2 linked regions of the Astyanax mexicanus genome follow. The protein of the gene in region 1 interacts with the protein of each later gene in a pairwise test. Links are inferred from orthologs where the notes say so. Each region holds a gene or a part of one and is shown in the gene's direction. Other genes may lie near its edges.

The links. The genes of interacting proteins can lie anywhere in the genome.
Region 2: the proteins of xpo7 (region 1) and uso1 interact in binary tests that used the Homo sapiens proteins (3 or more experiments, as listed by UniProt). The two-hybrid records come from large-scale screens. The link is inferred for Astyanax mexicanus from reciprocal best matches to the Homo sapiens genes XPO7 and USO1.

The regions. Positions count from the first base shown.
Region 1 is NC_064427.1:21,556,049-21,563,206, forward strand, and holds the start of xpo7 (exportin-7), read left to right. Parts: upstream 1-4,147; 5' UTR 4,148-4,236; coding exon 4,237-4,254; intron 4,255-7,158.
Region 2 is NC_064414.1:56,335,958-56,343,182, reverse strand, and holds the start of uso1 (general vesicular transport factor p115), read left to right. Parts: upstream 1-4,216; 5' UTR 4,217-4,834; coding exon 4,835-4,900; intron 4,901-7,225. UniProt on the Homo sapiens protein: General vesicular transport factor required for intercisternal transport in the Golgi stack; it is required for transcytotic fusion and/or subsequent binding of the vesicles to the target membrane.

The DNA.
Region 1 (7,158 bases):
TCTTTGGTTATCTCTCTCTCTATTATTCTCTGTTTTTATTGCTGTTTGATTTTTCTCTTTCGTCTGTTTCCCCTGTTCCTTTATGCCCTCTTGTTCTCTCTTTTTCTTCTTGACGTTTTTCTTTTCTCTCTGTGTTCTTATCTTTGTGTCGGTGTCTCTTTCTTTTCTCTTTTTTATGTTTCTAACTCTTTCTTCTTGTTCGCTCTGTCTGTTTTTCTCTTGTTCTAACTTACATACTCACTTCCCTCTCTCTCTCGCTCTCTCTCTCACACACACTCTCTCTCTCTCTTTCTTCCTCTCTTTCTTTTTCTCTTTCCCTCCTTCTCTCTCTTTGTCGTTCTGTCGGTGGTGTATTGTTTGACCTGGAGTGCCTTTAGAACTTCACTTCCTGTGAACTGCAGGTCTAAATGAGTCACTGCGCTCAGATGCGTGGGTGTGTGTGTGAGTGAATGTGTGTGTGAGAGAGAGAGTGTGTGTGAGTGTGTTTCTATAAGTGTGTGTGTGTGTGTGTGTGTGTGTAAGAGTGTACGTGTGTGTGTGTGTGTAAGAGTGTACGTGTGTGTGTGAGAGTGAATGTGTCTGTGAGTGTTGTGTGTGTGTAAGATTGTGTGTGTGTGTGTGTGTGTGTATGTGAGAGTGTGTGTGTGTGTTTCTGTAAGATTGTGTGTGTGTGTGTGTGTGTGTGTATGTGAGAGTGTGTGTGTGTGTTTCTGTAAGATTGTGTGTGTGTTTGTGTTCTCAGTGCCGAAGTGAGGTTTACTGTAAACGTTAATTCCGCCTGTTTCGCAAAATTGATACAAATATTTCCAATATCAGCAAATCTGATCTCTTTTACTTCCTAAATGATTGTTCTGTGAAGTCTTTCAGTAATGAGATATTCAGTATCCATTATGAATGTATCCAGTGTCTAGTATAAAACAATCCGTATCCATTATAGATTACTCAGTAATTACTATGAATTACTATGAATTCACAAGGAACTATTCAGTTACCACTATGAAGTATTCACTATCCATTATGAACTATTCTGTATTCATTATGAATTTCTCACTATCTACTACAAATTATTTAACAAAATATTTAGGATCCACTAGGATTTTTTTAGTGTATGATAAGTACTATGCAGTATTTACTATAAACTATTTAGTATTTTATAGTATTTACATATTTTTCAGTATGACTTTATTAAGTATAATTTTAAGATTAAGTATCCAGTATGACATGTTCAGTATTAACCATAGATTATTTAGTATCCAGTTTAAAATGCTCAGCATTCATTATGAATTATTCAGTATCAACCATAGATAATTGTGTATCCAGTATGAAATGTTCAGTATTCACTACAAATTAAGTATCCAGTTTAAAATGTTCAGGATTCATTACATTTTTTGTATCAACTATAGATTATTCAATATCCAGTATGAAATGTTCAGTATTTACAACAAATCTTACAGTATCAATTATGAATTATTTGGTATCCAGTATGAAAAGTTCAGTATCCACTGTAATTGTTTTGTATCAACTATAGATTATTCAGTATTCAGTATGAAATGTTTAGTATTCACAACAAATTTTACAGTATCAACTAAAGATTGAGTATTCAGTATGAAATGTTCAGTATTTACTAAACATTTTACAGTATCAACTATAGCTTATTCAATATTCAGTTTATGTTCAGTATTTATTACAAATAGGCAAAACCATTTTGTGGAAATATCTGAGAGGTCAAACGTTACAGAATTCTCCTAAATTTGCCGTAAATGTTTGGACACTTCAGGATGTGAATCAATCACTAGTCAGTAAAGGTGAATCTACTGTCTGTGTGTCTCAGAGATTAAGATGAGTGAAGATGAGTAGTGTGAAGATGAGCAGTTTGAAGATGAGCAGTGTGAAGATGAGCAGTTTGAAGATGAGCAGTGAGAGATACATGATCAGAGAAAACCCTGCAGAAACCACAGAGCAGCACAGGCTCAGCCCATGTGACCACACTGCCCCTCTGCGGCTGACCGCGAGTATTACAGCCGATCAGGTGTGTACAGTAATAAAGTAAATATAATGGCTTCCTATATTTAAGTAATTTAAGTAAAATATTTACTGATGTATTTCTTTTTGTGACTTTTTATTGTGGGGTTCAGCCCAATTCTGGTAGTTGAAACTACTTTCATTCTTTTAATCATTACAAAGTTTTTATAGGAGACAGTCACACGGGTTAGATATAATTATGTTTAGGAGAACCTACACTACTTAAATATATCTTCAATTGAGATGTAAATATTAACAGAATTTAAGTATCTGTGTGAATTTGAAAACGTTTTGAAGAAAAAAATCTTTTGAAGGAGTGCCAGGTTTGCTGTTTTTCACAATTGATTTTTCACAGAAGCTTCAACAAACTGCAGTAAAGAATGAGGTGGAAAGAGGAAGAGTCATATAGAGTGAGGGTACAGTGAGAAAGAGTGAGGTATAGTGAGGGTAGAATAAGAGTAGAGTGGGATACAGTGATGTAGAGTTAGAGTAGGGTGAGGTAAATAACAGAGCAGCAATGCCTCTTTCTACCTGAAGACAGAGCTCTTAAAGTAGCACTTCCTCCCCTAACACCTCTATCAAACTAACTACTTCTAACCTAAGTTCCTGCTCTCCCTCCTTTGCTCTTCTAATTCCATTTGGTCTACTTTAGGTCCTTTAAAAATGTTTTTTTTTTCCTTTAAATTCTATGTCCTCTATTGCTAAATGTACATCATGAATCCACTAAATATAATGTTATGTAATGTAACTCCTTCCTACCTGCACTCACTCCTGAAGGATTACGTTACCTACCGGCCGCTGAGCTCCTCCTCCAATGCCTCGCTTTACCAAACAAAAATTCACACAAAGCAATCCAGACTGTTCTCATACAGAGTTCCCCAATGGTGGAACAAACTACCTTCTACTACCAGATCAGGAGAATCTCTCACTATCTTTAATAAACTCCTGAAGACAGAGCTCTTCAAAGAGCACTTACTCTCCTAACACCTCTAACACACTAACTACTAACCTCATTTCCTTCTTCCCATCCTCTACTCCTCTATCCAATTATTCCCTTTGATCTCCTTTAGGCCCTATCTAAAGATGTTTGTACCTTTAACTTCTATTACTTTTGTACTTCACTATTGTAGGTCCCTTTGGACAAAAGCGTCTGCAAAATTTAATGTTATGTAATGTAAAGGTAGAGTGAGCATAGAGTGTGGAAGAGTGACGGGATCGGGACGGTCGGGAGGTAGAATGCCCTCAATAACGTTTTGCATTCCCCAAAAAGTGTGCTCTTGCATACATCTTGTATGGGTTCCCTCGCAAAAAAAAAAGGGCCTCCACAAATGTTTACATTCCCTTACAAAACAATTGTATTTACCTAGTTTTAAATTCCCTTGCCAAAAAATGTGTTCCCTCCAAAACGTTTTACATTCTGTTCCAAAAAAAATTGTATTGTCTTGCAAACTTTGTTTTAAAAGTTTTTAATCCTCTCACAAAAAAAGGTTTAGGTTTGCCGTTGGAAAAATAACTGGATAGACTGGTAAAAACATTCAAAAGATAAATGTTATATTTATCTGGATTTAGTGAGAATATTGATCAGATGTAATCCATTTTAACTCTGTTTATGTGAATGTTGATTAAATATTTATATAATGTTAGTATTGTTTACTACGCCTACTTCACATTTTTTATTGCCTCATTGTAAAAAAAATATTATTGAGCCAAATTGAGGTGAATCTGTTGTATTATCTGTTGTATCTGTTGTATCTGTTGTATCGGTCCAGTGTATTAGTTTTGTGCCCCCTTGGGAACATTAACTGCCCACCCCTCGTTTAGGGACCATGTAGAAAAATAACTGGATAGATGCTTCCCCCTAAAAAAACAATACGAATATAAACACAACATTCAGCAGATAAATGTTATTTTTTCTGGATTCTCTTATCTGCATATATTGATAAGATTTAATCCATTATAATCCGGTTTAATTATCTGTATGTATCCGATATCCCCATATTCCGCACGATTCCTCTTTAAGAATTATGTAAACAAAGACTCCTCCAGCGTAACGGAGCGCCGGATTTCCAGCGTAGTGCTATTACCGAACGCTCCTGCGCCCGGCCCTCGCCCGGCAGCGCGTGCGTCAGCTGCGTAAGTGCAGCGCTGTATGTGGACATATGCACGCATGCTCTTTGTGAAGGGGGAGTGAGAGAAGAGCATGAATGGAGCAAAATGGCGGATCATGTGCAGGTAAGCAAAGCTTTTTATTAGTGTGGGCTGAAAGCAGGGCTGTTCGGCTCGGTTTGGGTCAGATCTCCGCGCGCGTGCTCCGGTTCTGTGGGCTGTGCTGGCCCGGTTCGGGTGTGCTGTGCTGGGTGCGGTGGTGGTGATGATCAGCAGGAGCAGTGTGTTGACTTGGCCCTGTCATGCTGATGATGTGCTGTTCGTGCTTATTTACGTTGGGCTTGGGTGCAAACTTGTGCATGCGTGCGTTTTTGGCGCAGGGATTGCGCCTTTTAGCGTGTTTTAAAAGCACGTGCATGGACTCAGTTAGATTATTGCATGCAATGCAATTTAGTTCAGTGCAGTGCACTGAAATCGCTCCCAGTGTGCTCCCAGCGTTACAGTGTAAACAAGGCGCATCCTCCTCCTGCAGCGCGTGCGATTCCCAGACAGTACAAAAATCATTTTCTCAACCTTCACGTTCATTTTGTCATCACTAATGAACTGTTGATTCAACTTTGTGCATTTTTTTTTTTGTTTTATAACATTTGGTAAAAATCATTTTGAGTAACTTACATCTTATACAGAAGCCCCCCAAACCATTCAAAAGCCTGTAAACATAACTAGCTTACATGGCTACACGTTGAGTAAACGTCCGACTTTGTAAAACACCAATCTAGCTGATAACCCTAATAGCTAAGTGTAACAAGCAGTGTTGATAGCGGTTGTTTAATTTATTTTTAACGTAATTCCAACGCTGAAAGCTCTTGAAATTGAACCTTTATTCAATGTTATTTGCTAGCTTAGCGGTAGCTAACCTAACGCTGTCTATCAGGGCTGGGTCTGCTAGCTTAGCTTAAACTGTAGCTAAATAAGTTACCCTCTTTTTAAAAGCCCACACTTTGGAGGGAACGCCCTAAATGCGAAAAACAAGTTTATATTCATAATAATAAATTATAATTTACTCGTGTTGGTGCTTTATTACTATTAGATTTTATATTCAAGCTTAGCTAAGCTGATCTAGCACCTGCACTGCTGATAGGTTAGCCATGTTAGCTAGCATTAGATAAGCTAGATAACGGCCTTGCATTGCTTAGCTTAGCTCGGCTTAGCTTAGCTTTGTTTTGCTTATTTCTTACTATTCAATTCAATACAATATAGGTTAGCTTGTTAGCTTAGCTTAGCCAGTATTAGCTTACCTTATGTTAGTTTGAGTACGCTAGCATTTGTTGGAGATAGTTAGATACCTGGCTAGCTAGCTAAGCCAGTTAGCTGGCTTAACCTAGTTGTTTAACTGTTAAATGTATTTAACTGTTGTAAACGTGTGTGTTTAATGTTATCTCGCTAGCTAGCCATATAGTCCTGTGTTGGGGCTTAGTTAGCTACAGTTAGCTAGCAAAGTTATCCTGCTAAAATGGTAAATCCAGTTAGCTTGTTCCGGGTCCTGAAAGTAGCTAAAATCCATCCCAGGATTGTGCTCCAACTGCATGGACAGCTACAGTACAGCAGAGCTATCCGCGCTGTTTACAGAAAGTCCCGGGATGGATTTTAAGCCTCTTTCTGGATCTGGAGTTGCCACTGCTGTCCGCTAGCTCTGTCATTTCTCCCGCGCTGTATTGTGAAAGCAAAAGCACAGCAAATATGCTACAAACTGATTTAAAACACATTTATTTAGTTAATTTTAGTACAGATTTTAGTCAGTAATTACATTTTAACAGCAAATATTAGCTGTGTTTGAACAGAATGAGCACCGGGCTCTGTTTAAAGCTAGCTAGCGTTAGCGGTTGCTAGCTAAGCAGGAGCACATAGGACCCGGTTAACGTTAGCTATGCTAGCTTGCTTTAAGGTGAGCTTATACTTTTTATTATTCATAAAAAATAGTGTACTATTGATTTGAGATGTACAGTTTAATTTACTTATTTGAATATTAGTTGATTTAGCTAAGTTTAGTTTAGCAACTAAGCTCAGATTAGCCCCAGTTAGCTAGCTAACTAGCTAAATTCTTTTGACAACTGCAGTTAGCTGACGTTAGCTCTGTAGGATTAGCTCTACTTTGGCAAGCTAATGTTAAGAAGTGAACACGAATGCACCTATTTAGCTATTTCACATTTTTATTTAAGTGTTAATATAACTAAATTCAACTTTTTAAATCCAGATTTAATAAAAAATACACCTTAAAAATACACCTTTCCTTAGTTTAACTAAGTCATTGGGCATTGCTTGGGATGCTGAGAATGTACACTGATGTATTGTGTACTTAAATTATTACTAAATACATTATTTGCATTTAAGGTAGAAAAATAATATACTTTAATATAGACTTTAATATTTACCAATTTGAGTGTTTTACAAATTATTGTACCTTTTATGTGACCGTATATCTGTGATCCATGATTTGTCTGAACAGTTTCTTTCCTAATGAATGTGCAGAAACATTGAGTTACATCATTTCTTAGAAATTCCTTGAAACACAAATTCCTTTAAAAGTGAAGAAAATTACTTATTGTACCTTTTTAATATGATCTATATCTTTGTGATCTATATCTGTGTGATCTATCATTTGTCAACAGTCTCTCTTTTAATAATGCACAAAAACTTTGAGCTACGTTATTTCTTTGAAATTCCATGAAACACAGATTCCTTTAAAAGAAAAGAAAACAACTTATTCTACCATTTAATGTTATCTATATCTGTGTGATCTATCATTTGTCTGAGCAAATTCTCTTCTAATAATCCCAAAAACATTGTTGCGTCATTTTCTTTAGAAATTTCTTGAAACACATTCATTTAAAAACAGAGTGGTTGCGATATATTTTAGGGGCTGGATTTTTTTTTTGTTCTAGAGATGTGCTGAAATAGAAATTTAGTTTGAAATCCAATAAAATTAAGCACTTAACTAATGGCCAGATATTTTTTACCATTGCATGATCA
Region 2 (7,225 bases), on another chromosome or scaffold:
TTCTGTACATTCACAGGTGATATTAGGAAGCATTTTTTTTACATTTAAAAATAAACAGTACAGGTTTTACCTAATTACTCTTTCCAAAAAAGCTATACAGTGAACCTGAATATAATCACAGTCAGAGTAAATAATAATAATAATAATAATAATAATAATAAAATTCATCACCAGAATTGTAATCGCAATCCAAGTTGAGAAAGACAATTTTGAATTCAGAATCTGAATTTTAAGCACAATCAATCTTTAGATATAGAATTATAATGAAGAATCACAAATATCAAATCAGAATTTACAATCAGAAATAGAATTCATGCCCAGAATTGCCACTTGCAACTTAAATTCAACCTGAAAAATGTGTTATTTCTATAATCAGATTAAAAGCAATGGTTTATCATTTAAAGGAAAAGAAAATAAGACCACACCCACATTTTAAAGTATCTATGACAGAAACTACTATATTATATGTCGTATAGATAACATGGATAACATGGTGTTGAAATATGACATGGAATCAGAATTTACAATCAGAATTCATGGTCAGAGTTGTAATCACAATCAGAATTTGAATTCAGAACCAGAATTTTGAGTTTTCAGAATTAATGTTTTATAGTTAAGCACAGTTAATACAATTAATAACAGACGTAAAATTATAATTCGGGTTCATAAATAACAAATGTATTCACCAAAAACTGTCTGAAGCAGTTTGAAATCAGACTTAGTACAGTAATCAGTTCTGATTTACAATTTAGAATATGAAGTTAAATTGTATTTAAGACTTACTATTAAACGTTCAGCAGTATTAATACGAATCAAATACAAAGCAAAATACAGTATCAGAACTCAGGATTAGAACTGCTCATTTAAACACCACTACAGTAAAATACAAACATACAATTAGCTACATATTTTGTGTGGTTATAATTCTATTTATTTATTCTAAGTCTGATTTCTGATTGTGATTATAAATGTAATGTGATTATATAAACAGGTTTACTGTAGAATGTTTTTTTTTATTTTAGACAGAAGCAGTTGTTATGTAAATTATGCAAACATGTTTGTGCGAATAATTCACATTTAGCAGTTAACTGTTCTGTGTGTGTGTGTGTGTGTGTGTGTGGTATTGCATTTTTTTAGGGTTACCTGAGCTGATTGCTGGGTACAGCAGAAGGAGGACCAGGGTGAGACCCGCAGTCAGACAGACGGCCATGCTGGAGATACACTCTCACACTCTCTGACACTTTCTAACAGACTCTCTAACACACTCACACACACTCTAACACACTCTCTAACACACTCACACACACTCTGACTCCTTCCCAGTGCTGTGTCATTAACATAATCACACCGTAGCTCCTCCCCCTTGTGGGTTCGGCTGAAGAAGAGTACTGTGAGTGTGAGATCTGAGAGGGTTTAGCAGGAGATTACACACTCAGGTGAGACAGTAGGTGTTTATTAGAGGTGTGTAAGTGCAGTGTGTAACTGACCACTGCAGCTGGGCTGGACACACAGTGAACTGTGTGAAGGACTGAGCTGAACTTTAATATTATTAAAAATCACAGATATGTGAAATTGTGATGTTAAAATACATTTAAACTTCTTCAAAAAGCTCTAATTACAGCATCTGTGTGGGTTTATAAACCAAACACAGCCAACAGTAATTGTCTGACCGCCCCTTTAAGACTGATATGGGTGGAGCTAAAATACTCTAGGCTTAATGAGTGGAACTGAACTAAATGGGAGGAGCTAAACTGCTGTAGGCTGAATGGGAGGAGCTATACTGCTGTAGGCTAATTGGGAGGAGCTAAACTGCTGTAGGCTAATTGGGAGAAGCTGGGTGGGGCAAACATTTCGCTGAATGGGAGGGGTTAAACTGCTGTAGGCTGAATGGGAGGAGCTAAAATACTGTAGGATGAATGGGTGGAGCTAAAATAGTATATGCTGAATGGGAGGAGTTAAACTGCTATATGCTGAATGGGAGGAGCTAAACTGCCGTAGGCTAAATATGTGGGACTAGAATGGGAGAAGCTACACTGCTGTAGGCTAAATGGGAGGAGCTAAAATACTGTAGGATGAATGGGTGGAGCTAAAATAGTGTTCACTGAATAGAAGGAACTAAAATACTGTAGAATGAGTGGGTGAAGCTAAAATAGTGTTAGCTGAATGGGAGGAGCTAAAATACTGTAGGATGAATGGGTGGAGCTAAAATAGTGTTCGCTGAATAGGAGGAGCTAAAATACTGTAGGATGAATGGGTGGAGCAAAAATAGTGTTCACTAAATGGGAGGAGCTAAAATACTGTAGGATGAATGGGTGGAGCTAAAATAGTGTAGGATGAATGGGTGGAGCTAAAATACTGTAGGATGAATGGGTGGAGCTAAAATAGTGTTCTCTAAATGGGAGGGGTTAAACTGCTGTAGGCTAAATGGGAGGAGCTCAAATACTGTAGGCTGAATGGAAGGGGCTAAAATACTCAAGGCTAAATATGTGGGACTAGAATGGGAGGAGCTAAACTGCTGTAGGCTAAATGGGGGGTCGAAACTAAACTTCTGTAGAATGAATGGGTGGGGCTATTATACCATAGGGCTAAAGTGCTGGAGTCTGAATGGATGGGACTAAACTGAATGGGTGGGGCTAAAATACTGTTTTCTTTCTTAGATTCTTCAGTTTTCTTGCAAACAACCACAGATCAGTCATTTAATAATAATGTGAGGGCCTGTCCAGCCTAACAAACACGGTGTGTGTGTGTGTGTGTGTTTGTGTGTATAAGTGTGTGTGTGTATACGTGTGTGTGTGTGTGTGAGAGAGACGGATGGGATCATTGTGGGAGAAGATTAGACACCCTGTGGGCTGAATACCAAACAGCGCCTGACAATAGCGGCTCTACACGCTGCGTTATTCACATTCCCTAAAGGGGCATTCCACCCACTTCTCAAAATTCTCTATTTAAATAAAGTTTAGATGTAAATACAGTTATCCAGATTCCAGCCCCCCCCCCCCCCCCCCCGAGACAGTTATTACAGTTATAAATGTACTGCCTGATATCTGAAACTGTTTATCTGAAACACTGTTTTACCAGAGTTCTAAGAAAACTCTGGAAATAAAACCTGTTTACATGCTGCAGGGTGTAGTGAAAAAAGCAAAAAATAGTGCCTAAATAATTATATTAGTTCCGTTTCAGACGGTTCAGGTTCAGTTGTTGTCAACCATACTGGTTACATTGATCTGGTGAGTGGTGCTGCTCATGCTCATCAATTGGTTTGGTCCTACTGGTTGAATAGCTTGGTCAGGCTGGCCATGATTGATTGGTGTGGTTTTGCAGCCTGGTTATACCAGATGACTGATTTGGTCAGGTCATTCATGCCAACAGGTTTTGTCATGGTGGTCATATGGATTGTCTAGTTTGGTCAGGTTGGTCATGGTGTGGTTTGTTAGGTTATACATTGGTTATATGTTGCCCATACTGGTGGAATAGCCTGGTCAGGTTACTAATGAGACCAACCAGCTTGATCATGCTGGCCAGCTAGCTGGGTCATTTTTTTTTGTGATGCTCATGTTGGTCAACAAGTTTTGTGAGATTAGTCAAACAAGGTCAAGCAGGTCATGCTGCCCAACTGTGGTCAACCAACATGCTCATGATGTTCATGGTCATCAGCCACTATGGTAATACTGGCTGACTGGTTGCTGGTTTGGCTAGGAGAGTAACACCATTTCAAGTCAAGTCAAGTTTTTATTGTCATTACATATGAGTTCAGGTACACAGTGTAATTAAATTACGTTTGTCTGGAACCATGGTGCAACATGGGACAACAAACAATAACCAACATACAGTGCAAGGTGTAATGACTGTAAAGACTGTAAAATTACAATAAATACAAAATACGAGACAATTTAAAAGACAGGACAGTGCAGTACTGATATGGTATAATAGTGAGGATAAGGTGCAGCGATATGTAAACATACTGTAACATATAGAACATATATAATCACAGCAGTTACTGAGGTAGAGAGTTTATAGTTTTTGAGAGTAGCAGCAAATATTGCTGATAGGAATAGAGACCTTTCCATCTCTGTTTGCTGAGAGAGTGAGAGTTAGTGTGTGTGTGTGTGTGTGTGTGAAGTACAGTCTTTGTGTGTGTAAAGGGTGGTGGGGGGATCAGTTCAGTTTTGTTTGAGTGTTTTGGGTGTGTGGTGGGTGGGGTGGGGGTTCAGCTCTGTCTCTGTGTGTTGAGGAGTCTGACTGCCTGGTGGATGAAGCTGTTGCAGAGTCTAGTAGTGGAGGCTCGGATGCTCCTTTATCTTCTGCCGGACGGCATCAGAGCGAAGAGTCTGTCTGAGGGATGGGTGGGGCCGTCCACAATGCTGGTGGCTTTGCGGATGCAGCGTGTGGTGTAGATCTCTGAGATTCAGGTTAGAAAGACTCTGATGATCTTCTCAGATGTCCTCAATATCCGCTGTAGGGTCTTGCGGTCTTGAGGTGTTGTGGTTCCTAAACCAGACGGTAATGACGGTAAATATTGTTCAAGCCTCTGTATGTACTGTACGTATGCAGTTTTGACATTAAAACTAGTAGTTTTACTGGTCAGGAGCTGACCAGGTGAGCTAGGATTGTGTTGTTTTACCTGCTGTTCCTTTAAGAGCTCCGCGCTTGCGCGCCGTCCAGCCACGTAGCGCCACGTCTCCGCGCATGCGCAGCAGCGTGCTGTAGGAAACAGCTCCGCAGCTGATCAGGAGCTCGAGCAGCGGAACCACCGGAACCAGCGGGGATTACCGAACCGAACCGGCTCTAAACCCGGTTAACCCAGCGCAGGAGGAGCGGAGCACCAGCCCACACCATGAACTTCTTCCGCGGGGTGATGGGGGGACAGCCCGCCGGCCCGCAGCCCTCCGGAGCCGACACCGTGAGCTAATGCTAATGCTAAAGCTAATGCTATTGCTAACAGGGCTGTGTGTGTGTTTATCAGTAAATAAGAGTTAAAATCTGAGTTTAGATCCTTTATAAACCTCTAAACTTCAAACCTTACACTCTAGTCCACAGTATAAATATCACACAGCACTGTTACTGTCTGATTATCACACACTACACCCAGTTAAACTGTCAGATTTATCAGATTATAGCTTTAATATTCACTTAATATCATTTAACTGCTGATATTATTATACTATAATAACACAGGGCTGATCAACAGCACTACATCAACAGTAATATCACGATAATTTAGATTATACTGATACTGATATTATTACAGAGTGTGCTGAGAGTCAAAGTGTCAGAATAATCAGATTTTATCTGTATTATTAATCAGTTAGCTAGTGTGTAGCTAGTTGTATATATATAATATCATGTACACATTCTCCATAAAGGCCATATATTCTAGATTGAATGTATGTATGATACCCGTGTGGGTTTATGAACCAAAATCAGTCTAACTTTATTTATGACAAAAGGAATTGAAAAAGATATATAAATAAAACAAAAAAACAGTATTTAATAAGGAGGCACTGATATGGAAAATTATAGGCCGGTGGCGATAACCGATATACACATTTTTAACTATAACTTTACAAACAAATATAATGTTTACGGTATATACCTTATATCTTACCTTCGACCAGATGTATAAAATAAATTAAATTAAATGTTTTTGTATTTTTGGTCCTTACATAGACTCTTCACAGCTTTAAACTCTTTTTATTAATTGTAAACATCTTAAATAAAACAAAAATATCTTCTGAAACTAATAGAAGCAAAAGTAAAGTAAGTCAGTGCCACCACTGAAAAATAAGCAGCTAATAAACATTAAAAGAAAGTAATATTAAGTATAAATGATGTATAATGCTCAGGTTAAGATTGAATTAATACGAGATTATAAAAAAGGAAACAAAGCCAAGAAGGTAATATAAAAAAAACTGATGTTTTTAGAAATAAACAGATTTAGAAGTAAGATTTAAGAGTTATATTTTCATATGCACAGCAAAAACAAGCAGTTACACACCTAGTATAATGTAATTCTTACTATGCAGTTCCTCCAATTACCGTCAGTCTCACGCAAATAACAGTATAAAAGTAAAGAAACATGAGCATTTATAACAGAGGTCGTCAACAATCATTTGTAGTATATATATTTATATACTTTATATGTTAGTGACGTTATTATAGAAGTTGGTAGTTGAATAATGAGTGAGTTTATTATATAATGAAAGTGAAAGTGTTTTAATAAAGTGAGAAACTTATAAGGAATATATTATGGTGTGTACATCAACTCACCAAGGGAAGATGATCGTTGTCTTTCTGCAGTTTAGTTAAGGATCAATTAAGTAATTCTATTCTATTTTAATATTTTTTTTATTGTATTCTGTCCTGTTGAGCTGTGAGGTGTAATTCAGAACAGCTCAGTAAATATTTCAGTTTAATGTCCTGAAGCTCATTCCAGTCATAGCTAGTCATAGTATAGCTAACAGCTTGTTTTCTTATTTCCTCCTGCAGTTGTAGGAACTTTAAGACCATTGTCTTTTTACAATACTTATATTATTGTATAATGAAAGGACATGACCTCTGTGATTTTTTACTCAGATCAGTATCCAGTAGCTTGTTGTCTTTACTTGCATGTTTATTAACATACAAAAAAAACGTCACCAATATTTTAGCCAGTCATGCCATAATCAATACGCCAATAACTCCGCCTCCGTACACACAGAGCGCACTGTGTATAGATTATCTCTCCTAATCAATTCTGAGATAAAGACTAGCTGATACCAGCTGATATCCCAGTCTTGTCTTAGCTGTGTCACAGGAAATGCATTTAACCGTCCTGTCGTGGTGAAATATAGTGAAGTGTATGTGTTTTAAATATTGATGATAATATATTTAACTAATATACGTTAAAAAAACAATATACTGTATCTGAACAAATATAACAGAAGAAGCATTGTAGATTAATACTAAACTCATCCAAACAAACCAGAATATATATTTATATTTTAGATTCTTACAAGTAGCTCCTCTTGTTTAGATGATCAGTTTTGAACATCTCTGCTGGATTTTCTCAGTCAGTTTTATGAGGTAGAGTCACCTGGAATTCAGGCTTTCAGTTAACAGCTGTGCTGAACTCATCAAGAGTTAATTACTTGAATTTCTTGTCTCTTAACCCTTTAACGCCTGAATTAATGTAGCTGTATATGAAAAAATGTTTCATGTGTGTTTTACCTTTAAGTAGATAGTAAAT